Linked DNA regions of Danio rerio. The protein of the gene in region 2 interacts with the protein of the main gene of each other region in a pairwise test. Links are inferred from orthologs where the notes say so. Each region holds a gene or a part of one and is shown on either strand. Other genes may lie near its edges.

What was found.
Region 1: the proteins of hoxa1a (region 2) and slit1b interact in binary tests that used the Homo sapiens proteins (3 or more experiments, as listed by UniProt). The link is inferred for Danio rerio from reciprocal best matches to the Homo sapiens genes HOXA1 and SLIT1.
Region 3: the proteins of hoxa1a (region 2) and fam221a interact in binary tests that used the Homo sapiens proteins (3 or more experiments, as listed by UniProt). The link is inferred for Danio rerio from reciprocal best matches to the Homo sapiens genes HOXA1 and FAM221A.

The regions. Positions count from the first base shown.
Region 1 is NC_133197.1:36,949,873-36,953,958, reverse strand, and holds the start of slit1b (slit homolog 1b), read left to right. Parts: upstream 1-1,267; 5' UTR 1,268-1,390; coding exon 1,391-1,578; intron 1,579-4,086. UniProt on the Homo sapiens protein: Thought to act as molecular guidance cue in cellular migration, and function appears to be mediated by interaction with roundabout homolog receptors.
Region 2 is NC_133194.1:22,044,294-22,047,573, forward strand, and holds hoxa1a (homeobox protein Hox-A1a), read left to right. Parts: upstream 1-1,413; 5' UTR 1,414-1,509; coding exon 1,510-2,149; intron 2,150-2,344; coding exon 2,345-2,694; 3' UTR 2,695-2,716; downstream 2,717-3,280. UniProt on the Homo sapiens protein: Sequence-specific transcription factor. Regulates multiple developmental processes including brainstem, inner and outer ear, abducens nerve and cardiovascular development and morphogenesis as well as cognition and behavior.
Region 3 is NC_133194.1:22,559,547-22,563,711, reverse strand, and holds the start of fam221a (protein FAM221A), read left to right. Parts: upstream 1-1,236; 5' UTR 1,237-1,311; coding exon 1,312-1,376; intron 1,377-1,462; coding exon 1,463-1,577; coding exon of another isoform or gene 1,578-1,578; intron 1,579-3,896; coding exon 3,897-3,955; intron 3,956-4,027; coding exon 4,028-4,165.

The DNA.
Region 1 (4,086 bases), on a different chromosome or scaffold from region 2:
GTGAGTTGTTAGTGTGTATTTGTTTCCGTTGTTTGTATATGTGAGTGTGTGTCTGTGTGTGTTTCTCTTTCTGTGAATGTGTGTGAGTTGTGTGCATTTGTCCCTGTGTATTTGTGAGTGTGTGTGTGTGTGTTTTTTACTCTTCCTCTGAGTGTGTGTGTTGTGTCTGTGTGCATGTGTGTGTGAGTAAGTTGTAAGTGTCTTTGTGTCTCTGTGTGTTTTTCTCTTCCTGTGTGTGTGTGTGTGTGTGTGAGTGAGTTGTTAGTGTGTATTTGTTTCTGTGTGTGTATATGTGAGTGTGTGTCTGTGTGTGTTTCTCTTTCTGTGAATGTGTGTGGTGTGTGTGAGTTGTGTGCATTTGTCTCTGTGTATGTGTGTGTGTGTGTGTGTGTGTGTGTGTGAGAGTGAGTGATTTGAAAGTGTGTGTTTGTTCCTCTTTCTGTGAGTGTTTATGGTGTTTCTGTATGCATGTGTGTGTGTGTGTGTGTGTGTGTGTGAGTGAGTTGTGTGTATTTGTTTCTGTGTGTGTGTGTGTGTGTGTGTGTGTGTGTGTGTGTGTATGTGTGAGTGAGTTGCGTGTATTTGTTTCTGTATGTCTGTGTGTGTGTGTGTGTATGTGTGAGTGAGTTGTGTGTATTTGTTTCTGTGTGTCTGTGTGTGTGTGTGTGTGTGTGTGTGTGTGTATGTGTGAGTGAGTTGTGTGTATTTGTTTCTGTATGTCTGTGTGTGTGTGTGTGTGTGTGAGTGAGTTGTGTGTATTTGTTTCTGTGTGTGTGTGTATGTGTGAGTGAGTTGTGTGTATTTCTTTCTGTGTGTCTGTGTGTGTGTGTGTGTGTCTGTGTGTGTGTGTGTGTGTGTGTGTGAGTGATTTGAAAGTGTGTGTTTGTTCCTCTTTCTGTGAGTGTTTGTGGTTTGTCTGTATGCATGTGTGTGTGTGTGTGTGTGTGTGTGTGAGTTGTGTGTATTTGTCTCTGTGTGTGTATACAGTAGATGAGTGTGTATGTGTATCTGCATGTGTGTTCTCTGTGTGTGTGCTTTTCTTTCTCTGTGTGTGTGTCCCCTCTCTCTGTGTGTGCGTGTGTGCGTGTGTGTGTGTGTGTGTGTGTGTGTGTGCTGAGGGGAGGAGTCAGATCAGTGATGTTCAGATGTAGTGATGGATGATTTTCCCTCTCTGTGAATGAGAGAGAGAGAGAGCACACGTGTGGGAGATCCAGCCTCCCTCTCTCTCTCTCTCTCTCTCCTACACACATACACACAGCTTTACCCTGGAGAAGGGGAACCACGGCACAAAGAGCACACAAACACACACACACAGGACAGAGATCTCCTGCGTCCTCTCCTGTCCTGCAGTTTATGTGTGTCCCGCAGTGTCCGCTGTGGGCTTTTGGAGATGCCGGACACCGAGCGCTCGCGTCCCAGCTCTGGACTGTGGATTTGGGCTCTGCTGCTGTCTCTGTTCCTCTCGGGACGCTCTGGAGCCTGTCCTCCTCACTGCTCCTGCACCGGATCCACTGTGGACTGCCATGGACTTGCCTTTAAAAGCGTCCCGCGAAACATCCCCAAAACCACGGAGCGCCTGTGAGTACCGCAAGGAGCGTTTGTGTCCTTATACGTCACTCCATGTGCGTGTGTTTGTGAATGGAGAAGGCTGCGTGTTTTGGCTTTAAAGGGATAGTTCACTCAGAAATGTAAATGTAAAGCGCAAAAGAAGATATTTCAAAGAATGTTGGAAACCGTGTTTCGGGTTTAAAGGGATAGTTCACCCAAAAATGTTCATTCGGTCATTTTTTATTCACCGTTTCAGACCTTTAAGAGTTTTTTTCCTCTGTTGAAGGTGAAAGAAGATATTTCAAAGAATGTTGGAAACCGGTAACCATTGGCTTCCATTGTTTTTGTATTTTTGCTTTACTATGGAAGTCAATGGTTACAGGTTTTTGGCTTACGACAAAAGAAAATATTTTGAAGAATTTTGGAAACTGTTAACAATTTCCATCGTGTTTGTATTTTTGTTTTACTCTGGAAGTCAATGGTTACAGGTTTTCTGCTTGCTTTTAAAAATATCTTCTTTTGCGTTCGAAGGCTGCATTATTTTGGGATTAAAGGGATATGTCACTTATTAATTCTGTCATTATTTACTCACGGTTTACTAGCTTTAGGCTTTTATGAGTTTTTTTTCTGTTGAAGGCAAAAGAAGATATTTTGAAGAATGTTGGAAACCTGTAACCATTGACTTCCATTGTATTTGTATTTTTGCTTCACTCTGAAAGTCAATGGTTGCATGTTTTTGGCTTAGAACAAAAAAAGATATTTCAAAGAATGTTGAAAACCGGTAACTATTGATTTTCATTGTATTTGTATTTTTGTTTTACTGTGGAAGTCAATGGTTACAGTTTTTCTGCTTGCTTTTAAAAATATCTTATTTTGCGTTTGAAGGCTGTGTTTTGGGTTTAAAGGGATAGTTCACTCATAAGTTCTGTCATTATTTCCTAACTGTTTATTTGCTTTAGACTTTTATGATTATTTTTCTGTTGAAGGCAGAAGAAGATACTTTGAAGAATGTTAAAAAACCTGTAACCATTGACTTCCATTGTATTTGTATTTTTATTTTACTATGGAAGTCAATGGTTACAGGTTTTGCTTCAAAATATCTTCTATTGCATTTGAAGGCTGTGTGTTTTGGCTTTAAAGGCATAGGTCACTCATAAATTCTGTCATTATTCACTCACGGTTTACTCTTTTCAGACCTTTATGAGTTTCTTTCATCTGTTGAAGGCAAGAAAAGATATTTCAAAGAATGTTGGAAACCGGTAACCATTGACTTACATAGTATTTGTTTTCACTACTATGGAAGCCAATAGTTACAAGTTTTTTGGCTTTCTTCAAAATATCTTCTATTGTGTTTTTAAGACTGTGTTTTGGCTTTAAAGGGATGGTTCACTCATAAATTCTGTCATTATTTATTAAAATAAAAAAATTCAAAGGGGGCTAATAATTCTGACTTCAACTGTATTTTAATGTTGTGTATTATTTAGCTTTAAAAGCTTGTGCTTTAGGTGTTTGAGAGTCTAAAATACACAAAAGTTGTGTCCAACAAGTTAAGGAAGTAGGAAATACTATTGAAAACATGTAAAAACATTTAAGCGCTATTATAAAATTAACTGAAAAGGGATGTATATGTACAATAAATCAGTATCTTATTGACTGTCAGCCAGTGGGAAAGTTATTTTAGTGATATTGATTTAATAATTGTTGTATTTAGATCATGTTGCAGCCATGTTTCAGTTAGTTGTTTTAATAACACTGTTAAACATTAGCTTTAATGAAATAAAATCAATAGCCATGATTAGTACTGTAGCTTGTAGTTTTGCGAAGCCCAAGTTCCCTTGTTTATTTCATTTTTCAATTCATTCATTCATCTTGCTTCGATGTAATCCTTTTTTTTCCATCATGGGTGCCACAGCGGAATGAACCGCCAGCTTATCCAGCATTTGCTTTACACAGTGGATGCCCTTCAATTTATTGTTTTAAATATATAATAAATTGCGTCATGGTGGCGCAGTGGGTAACACGATCGCCTCACAGCAAGAAGCTTGCTGGTTCGAGTCCCTTGATGGATAGATGGAACAAATGATGGATGGATGGAACAAATGACGGATGCATTGATGGAAGGATAGATGGATGGATAAAACAATGGATGGATGGAAGAAATGATGGATGGATATTTAGAACAATGATGTATGGAAGAAATGATGGATGGATGGATAAATAGACGGTTGAATGAATGAATGAAACAATTGACGGATGGATGGATGGAAGGATAAATAGATGGTTGGATGGATGGAACAAACAACGGATGGATGGATGGGTGGATGGATGGATAGAATGATGGATGGATGGAACAAATGACGGGTTGATGGATAAATAGATGGTTGGATTGAACAAATGATGGATGGATGGATGGATGGATGGAACAAATGATAGAAAGATGGATGGATGGAGCATATGATGGATGAATGGATAGAACAAATATATGGATGAAATAAATGACAGATAGATGGATTAATGGATAGAATAAATGGATGGAAC
Region 2 (3,280 bases):
CCCAAATACGTATTTCATTCACCGCTTATCAATATAACGATTTTGGATTCAGCGCAACCCACGTGGACGGATAATAATAATTAATCTTTTTATTGGCGTTTTACACCCCGTCATTAGGATTACACAAAACACTCATACAACATATTTCACTGCACGTCCTCCCCAATTTGTCTTAGTCTTTTTGCTTTTTGTCCTGATTGAAATAACGTTACAAATGTTTATAATGTCTTTATTGAAGATGTTTTAAAATGCTTTTTTTCGTATGAATAAACAAATATTTAATCAACTACAATAGTTTTTATTTTTAGATATTTTTCCCCACATCTAACAGAGTGAACATTTGGCCACTAAGTGGTTCTACAGTTTTTATAAACTATGACTCCATTTCATTTAAGTACATTACACTTTATATTTATGCTGTTATTTTTTCTTGCCTTATTTGTCAGGCTTGTTGCTGTAAAAAAAATAGTGGCATAAGAAATACTAGGCCGTAGTAAGCTTGTGTAAAGCGCCATTTTGAAAAAAGAAAAAAGGTATAAAAATGTCCAATTTCCTCCAGAGGGGGCGCGTGTCTCCTCTGCTCCACATAGGATTGTGGATAAAATACATCGTCTTCCCTGTGATTATTGATCAGTCTGTGAATACTAATCACAAAATAGCATTCAGCAAAAACAGAAATCCCGCTAATGTATTTATTTCAACATGTAAGTTCTTAGTTCCAAGTAAGTTCCAAGTCCTTAGTTCCTTGCTGCTTAATGTTGACAGTTAGCATACATAGACATAGGCTAAATAGCTTATAGCAGTAATAAATATACAGTGGGCTACAGCCAATGTTTTTATCAAGTAGCTAAGCCTAACGTATTAAAAAACAACAAATATAACTGTGCTGGCTACACCGAAAAAATAACAATACGATGAGTGGTAGTCAGTTTATCATTTTTATACACTTACTAAGTTGACGAAAGCCGATACACTAGAGCCTATAGCTGATAGGATATTGCTACCCGAATTGTGAACCAGAAAAAGATACTAACTTTACATAATTTCTTTGTGGTTTTGAGATCATCTTACCTGAAGCATTTCTTTAAAAAAAATCCACACACCGAGAAGCTGATGCTGCCGGGACGCTGTCTGTGAGACAACGTCCCTCTTAGCGTATCTGCCAGCGAATCTATCCTTTCAGCAGAAGTAAAGGTGGGCCTACGTAACGTTGATGGACAAGAGGTCGGCATTTGCATAAGCCTGGTCTTTAACGACAACCTGTCAGTGCAAGGCCACTTAAGATCAAGATGAGACAGCACAACTGATCACTGGCTGACCCAGCCCACGTGACTGTCACTGGTCATTCATATCACTAGCGCCCGAACACCTCCAATCCACGACTGATTGAAGGAGGCAGAAGGGTGCCTCGGCTCAACCCAGGGTGAATGGTGCGACGTTAATCAGTTCCGGGCCCAAAGTTCTGTCAGTGTGGCAACCACGAGCTGAGACGCCCAAGAAGATGACACAATGAGCACATTCTTAGATTTTTCGTCCATAAGTGGTGGTGGAGATGGAGGTAGCGGGGGCTCGTGCTCAGTCAGGGCGTTCCACGGTGATCACGGACTTTCAACATTCCAATCGTCGTGTGCTGTTAGGTTAAATAGCTGCAGTGGAGATGAACGGTTCATGTCCAATATATCGTCACAAGATGTAATTAACTCTCAGCCACAACAGGCCGGCTCGTACCAGTCCCCCGGGACTTTGTCAATTACCTACAGCGCCCATCCAAGTTATGGAACTCAAAGTTTTTGCACTGGATACAATCACTATGCCCTAAATCAGGACGTGGAATCGTCTGTGAGCTTTCCCCAGTGTGGCCCGTTAGTTTACTCTGGAAATATTTCTTCCACTGTTGTGCAGCACCGTCATCATCGTCATGGTTACAGTAGCGGAAACGTTCACCTCCATGGCCAGTTCCAGTACGGCTCAGCCACATATGGTAATAGTTCGGATCAGGCAAACCTTACGTTTGTGGCGGGCTGCTCAAATCCGCTTTCCCCTCTGCATGTGCCTCATCATGATGCTTGTTGTTCACCTCTATCAGATGGCGTGCCCACGGGACAGACATTTGACTGGATGAAGGTTAAACGCAACCCGCCAAAAACAGGTGAGTGACTTAAATTTTACAAGTCGTAATTATTTTTTCTCCCGATACGGAATACAAGTCCTGACTTAATATTGCATGTCCAACACTGGTTACATAAACATCTGAAGAAACCTAAGATATGGGACTTGACATAACAATATAGCCTAGTATGCATACACACATTCATTTATTCTTCTTTTCATTCTCTCTCTTAAGGAAAAGCTGGGGAGTATGGATTTGGTGGGCAGCCAAACACTGTACGCACCAATTTTTCGACAAAACAGCTGACAGAGCTTGAAAAGGAGTTTCATTTCAATAAGTACTTGACTCGCGCAAGGCGCGTGGAGATCGCGGCTTCTCTCCAATTGAATGAGACTCAGGTGAAGATATGGTTTCAAAATCGCCGTATGAAACAAAAGAAGCGCGAAAAGGAAGGTCTTTTGCCGAAATCTTTGTCCGAACAGAAAGATGGTCTCGAAAAAACAGAGGATGCATCTGAAAAGTCGCCCTCTGCACCATCCACGCCCTCTCCTTCACCAACTGTTGAGGCATACTCCTCTAATTAAACAGCTTTCACATTTGTTCTTTCAAATTGTAAACAATAATGCAAAATTGTTTGTGACTTGTCTTATGGTTATTTGTACATCATGTTTTAACATAAGTGGAAGAGTGTTTTAGCGACCAACCGTTTCTAACTCGACCATTTTGATCACTCATTGTTTATCTGTGCACTATTTATGTTAATGTGAAATAACTGTTAATTGTCTTGGGCACTTTGTCAAGCACCTGGATAGAAAGAAGTGGCTTGTGCATTTTTGTGCACAGTAATAACAAATGCTGCACTTTTACGCGCGTCTTAGTTTGAACTTGTAAACCACTTGTCAAAATGTCTACCTCAAGAACCGAAGGAAATAGTGCAATATATTTAGGGGATGCATTACTAGTGAATCTGTTAAATCTTTCGGGAAATAGTGTCTGTAATTGACAAATTCTCTGGACGATGCAAAGTGTTGTTAATTCTTGTGTTGTGAGTTTTGCAGCATACGCAATTGTCTGAAGTTGTTCTCCGGTGATGCTGAGTTTTATCAGTCGGAATTAAAGTTTCCTTTAATTTAGAAATGCGTTAGAAAAAGATCAAGATACGGGTGAAAT
Region 3 (4,165 bases), about 520 kb from region 2:
TCGGTTTATGTTTTTCACTCCAAGTCTGCAGACTGTTAATCAGCTAAACGAAATCGACTGTTTAACTACTGAACATGCTTATCGCTTTAAGACAAGGCCGGGTGTGAAAAGCATTAAACAGCTGGAGCAGCCAGATGAAGCCGCTCCAGTAATGTAGCTAAAACAGAATTTACCTTCAATGTATTGGTCAAGGTGACAGATTAGTTGACTCCAAAACTGTTGTCATCTTAGACCGTTCAGAAAGCAACCACAGCAAGCTTGCGTTGACAATCTGTAATATTAAAACAATATTCAAACATGATCATAACTCCAAGAAAGGCGTCTCTGTATCAACTAAGACACGAATCGTTTTACATCTAAAGCGCATTTAAATAAATACTGGAGCAGCATTCGAAGCCGCATAATGTAGCGAAACTGAGAACCACACGTTATACTGAAAAATCTTCAGTATTTCCCTGCGTAACAAGACGTTATTGCGTGAGACGTCACGTTACCCTAGGGATGTCCGGTTTGTGAATGAACTGCTCTTTCGAGTCGAATCTTTCGAATGAACCAATTCCCAAAATTGATTCTTTTGAGTTAAACTGAACAGAACTGAACAGTTCTTTAGTACACTGAACGAACAGAATCCGTTCACACATCATTTGACCGAAATGCGAATAAAGAATCTTGAAATATGCGTATTAACTTAAATATATTATTCGAGTTTATCAAAAATAATGTTATTTAAAGAGCAAAGTTATGTTATAAGGAGGATGTAGATTGAATGCACTAACTGACTGTTAATACCAAATATTGTTTATGGGGTAGCAATTCACGTCATTTATATTAAAACGTGAAGCAGTATAGAAATTTAGAGAGTTTCGACATTTTATATGGCTACGTTTTAATTAGAAGATTTTAAGGACACAAAATATTTGATGTTCCAAAGCACAACAAACACAGCAACATAGAATCACTGAATCGTTTGTAAAATAGTTTTTGAACCGATTCTGATTGAGTCTGATCACTCACTTTCTATCACGCGCTCACGTAAAATTTGTAGGCAGTATGGGAAATGTAGTTCGTATATTCAAGTTTAGCTAGGACGCAATTAAATCGTTCAGAATATGAAGTGAGTATTCTAAATTCGAGTTTTTCCACGTATTTATAGAGTTTTGTTCTTGATATAAATTTAAAGTACGTAAGGAGAACGGCGACGACTGATCGTTGCCTAGAAACACAGACGCAAAGTCCAAACAAGCCGCAGCATTTTCAACAATTGTTTATGTCAACAGATAAAACAGCAAAATAGACTCATAAGTTAGTAAAATGGCAAAGATTCACATCGACAAACTCGCAGCCAATTCAGTGGAGGCTTATTTAGAATACAAAAGGTGAGTTTGTTTGTAAAAATCCTGAATTTTTTTTTTCTAAAGATGACTTTGTAATTATTTTTCAACGATCTTTATTCTTTGCAAAGGATTGTTGGGGAAGATGATGGAGGAAGGCTGTTTTCGGAGGACGAGTACAAGAAATACAAAGAGACAGTGGTGCCAGGAAGAATACAGAACCGCCTTTATGTCAGTTTTGGCGTCCAGGTGTTCCGGAGAATTCAGTTCCCCCTGTTCCCCCCTTCACAGCGCATGCGCTAATTCTCAGTAATGACGTCATGCTTTCGCTTCGCTAGTGAATCAATTCGTGTTGGTTTTGAAAATAAAAATTAATAAAAATCGTGTTGGTTTTGCTGTATTAACAAGCCTAATGTTGGTTGCATTAAACATTTTTTATTATATTTAGTAATTGTAATTTTTGCATGCACTCATTAATTGTTTTGTTGTTAATGTGTGCGTGATGTGCGTGTTTTTCTTTCAAACAAGCATTGTCTTTCAAATAAGCCTTGTCGAGAAAAATAGCACTGCAAAATTAGTGTCTCTTGTTTTAGGTAAGTCACAATGATGCTTGTAATGTTTAAAAATTGCATAGACTGTTAATGCAAATATTTGTCACTTATCTGCATATGAAAACACAAGAGAATAGATTTTCTGTAAGCAATGGAAGTTTCCTGGATTAAAAAACAAAACAACAATACAATGACGTCTTTTTAATCTAATAATTGTCTCCAACAGTTTTCATCTGCAGAAAGGGCTTTTAAACAACAATTATGGATACAGCACAGAAAACAGATAAAAGATAGGCTCAAATTTTTTTTTTTTTTTTTTTTACTTTTTTACTATCTATAAAGGGGTGTTACCATTGAAAAGGCATGGGAATTTTTTACATTGCCCAAAGAAGTGTTAACTCCTATATATTACCTTTTGTGGGTTTGAAAGGCACTACAATGATGCTGGTGACATTTTTTTAATGGTATAATTATGTCTAAACTCTTATATGTTCAGATAAGTGTATTTACAGTGATTTATGTTATTTTTGTGGACTACACAATGACCATATGCATTCACCTGCTTGGGTAAATGGGTACTTTTTTATTTTTAACAATTTTTGTACCTTTGGTTCTTGTTAAATTGACAAAAGCTGTTAAACATTATTTTAATGATGAGGCAATTGTGGGTAATTACCCTGCATGATCTTTCAGATTGCCTGTGATTGATCACCAGTCATGTGTTGGCAGAATAGGGCTGTGCGATATTGAAAAAACAAAATAAAACTAATATTGCAATATTTCGTTGGTCTGCCTTATATATTGTGATATAAATACAATTTCACCAGATTGGTTAAATAGCTCTGTTAGAAAATAATTCATTATTTTACATTGATTGGCATGATTTTGTAGGGGACTGGTTGAATCATGCATAAAACAATTTACAAGCATATAAAAACAGGGCAAAGACAAAACTGCTGAGATAAACAGTGTGTTTTTTTTTTTTTTTTTTTTTGGAGCATTCAGTACAGAAATTGAATAATCAAATGTAAAATAACACTAGTCTTCTTTATATAAAAAAATAAGTACAATTAATATTTGTTTAAGATATAAAAGTTATAATTTCTTGTGCCTGAATGTATTAAACTTTTTGAAATCACATGCAAATAATACTTTTTTTATTTAATTTTGGTTAAAATCTGCAGCTACTCCACAAATCACATGTACTCTGAACTCCTGTGCTGTTCAACATTGCAGATGTGACTACTGCAGATGGGCACATTGCAATATTAATGCTGATAAGATATATTGTACAGCCTATAATGAAGAATATCATTGCTTAGCTTGCTTTAAACACTTGAAAATGTGCACAAATTTTTGGTTGGTTCGTTTTAAAAGATTTTAGCTTTTTTTGCTAGTTTATGTATATAATAAATATATAAATATTCAAATAGTAAACTAATTTAATGTATCATCCTTTTAATTTACGCCTACTTATGTTTTTTTTTTAGTATAACAAAATTGTTAGATTTAAATCTGATGTTAAAAAGGCATTGTATATTGTGTTTTCCAATCCTCAGAAGGTAACACAATTTCCTCTGCTTCGGGAAAATCCGTACTCCTGTGTTTTTAATGTAAAGTCACTTTCTGAAGATACATGACAAGCTACGTAAATATGTCTTTCAAAACGACACAAGTATCACTGTGATTTATCTGAAATAAAACACACTATAATTTGTGCAGTGTAGTATGGTTTATTTTTTTCGACAAGGCAAACTGTTTGAAAGAAACAAGCGAACGCGTGCTAAAAACAGGAACAATACCATAGACACGTGTGTCTATGCAAATAATTACAAAATTTTATAAACTCTGTGACAAAATAAACACTGGGCTTACGAAAATACAGCAAAACAACCATGAACTGTTTCAGTTCGCGAAGTGAATTCATGACGTCATGATTTGCGTACATGGAATCAGCCGTAAGTTGCGCATGCGCTGTGAATGGGGGAACAGGGGAACTGAATTCTCCGGAACACCGGGACAGATAGATTGCAAAGTTATTGGACCTGAGACAACTTGCTTCTGTACACACAGGTATTACTAGAATCACACTGATGAACACACGCATACATAAAATAATCTTCGTTGTTTCTGTTTTATTCTCAGGTATAAACAGCATCGCACAGACTATGAGGAGTTGCCAAAAGAAAGGCCTGTCCTCTTGCCCTGTAGAGTCAAAGGTTGTCAGTGTGCTTCTTATGAATATGTTCATATCAACGGCTCTAAACCTGTGCGCTGCCGATG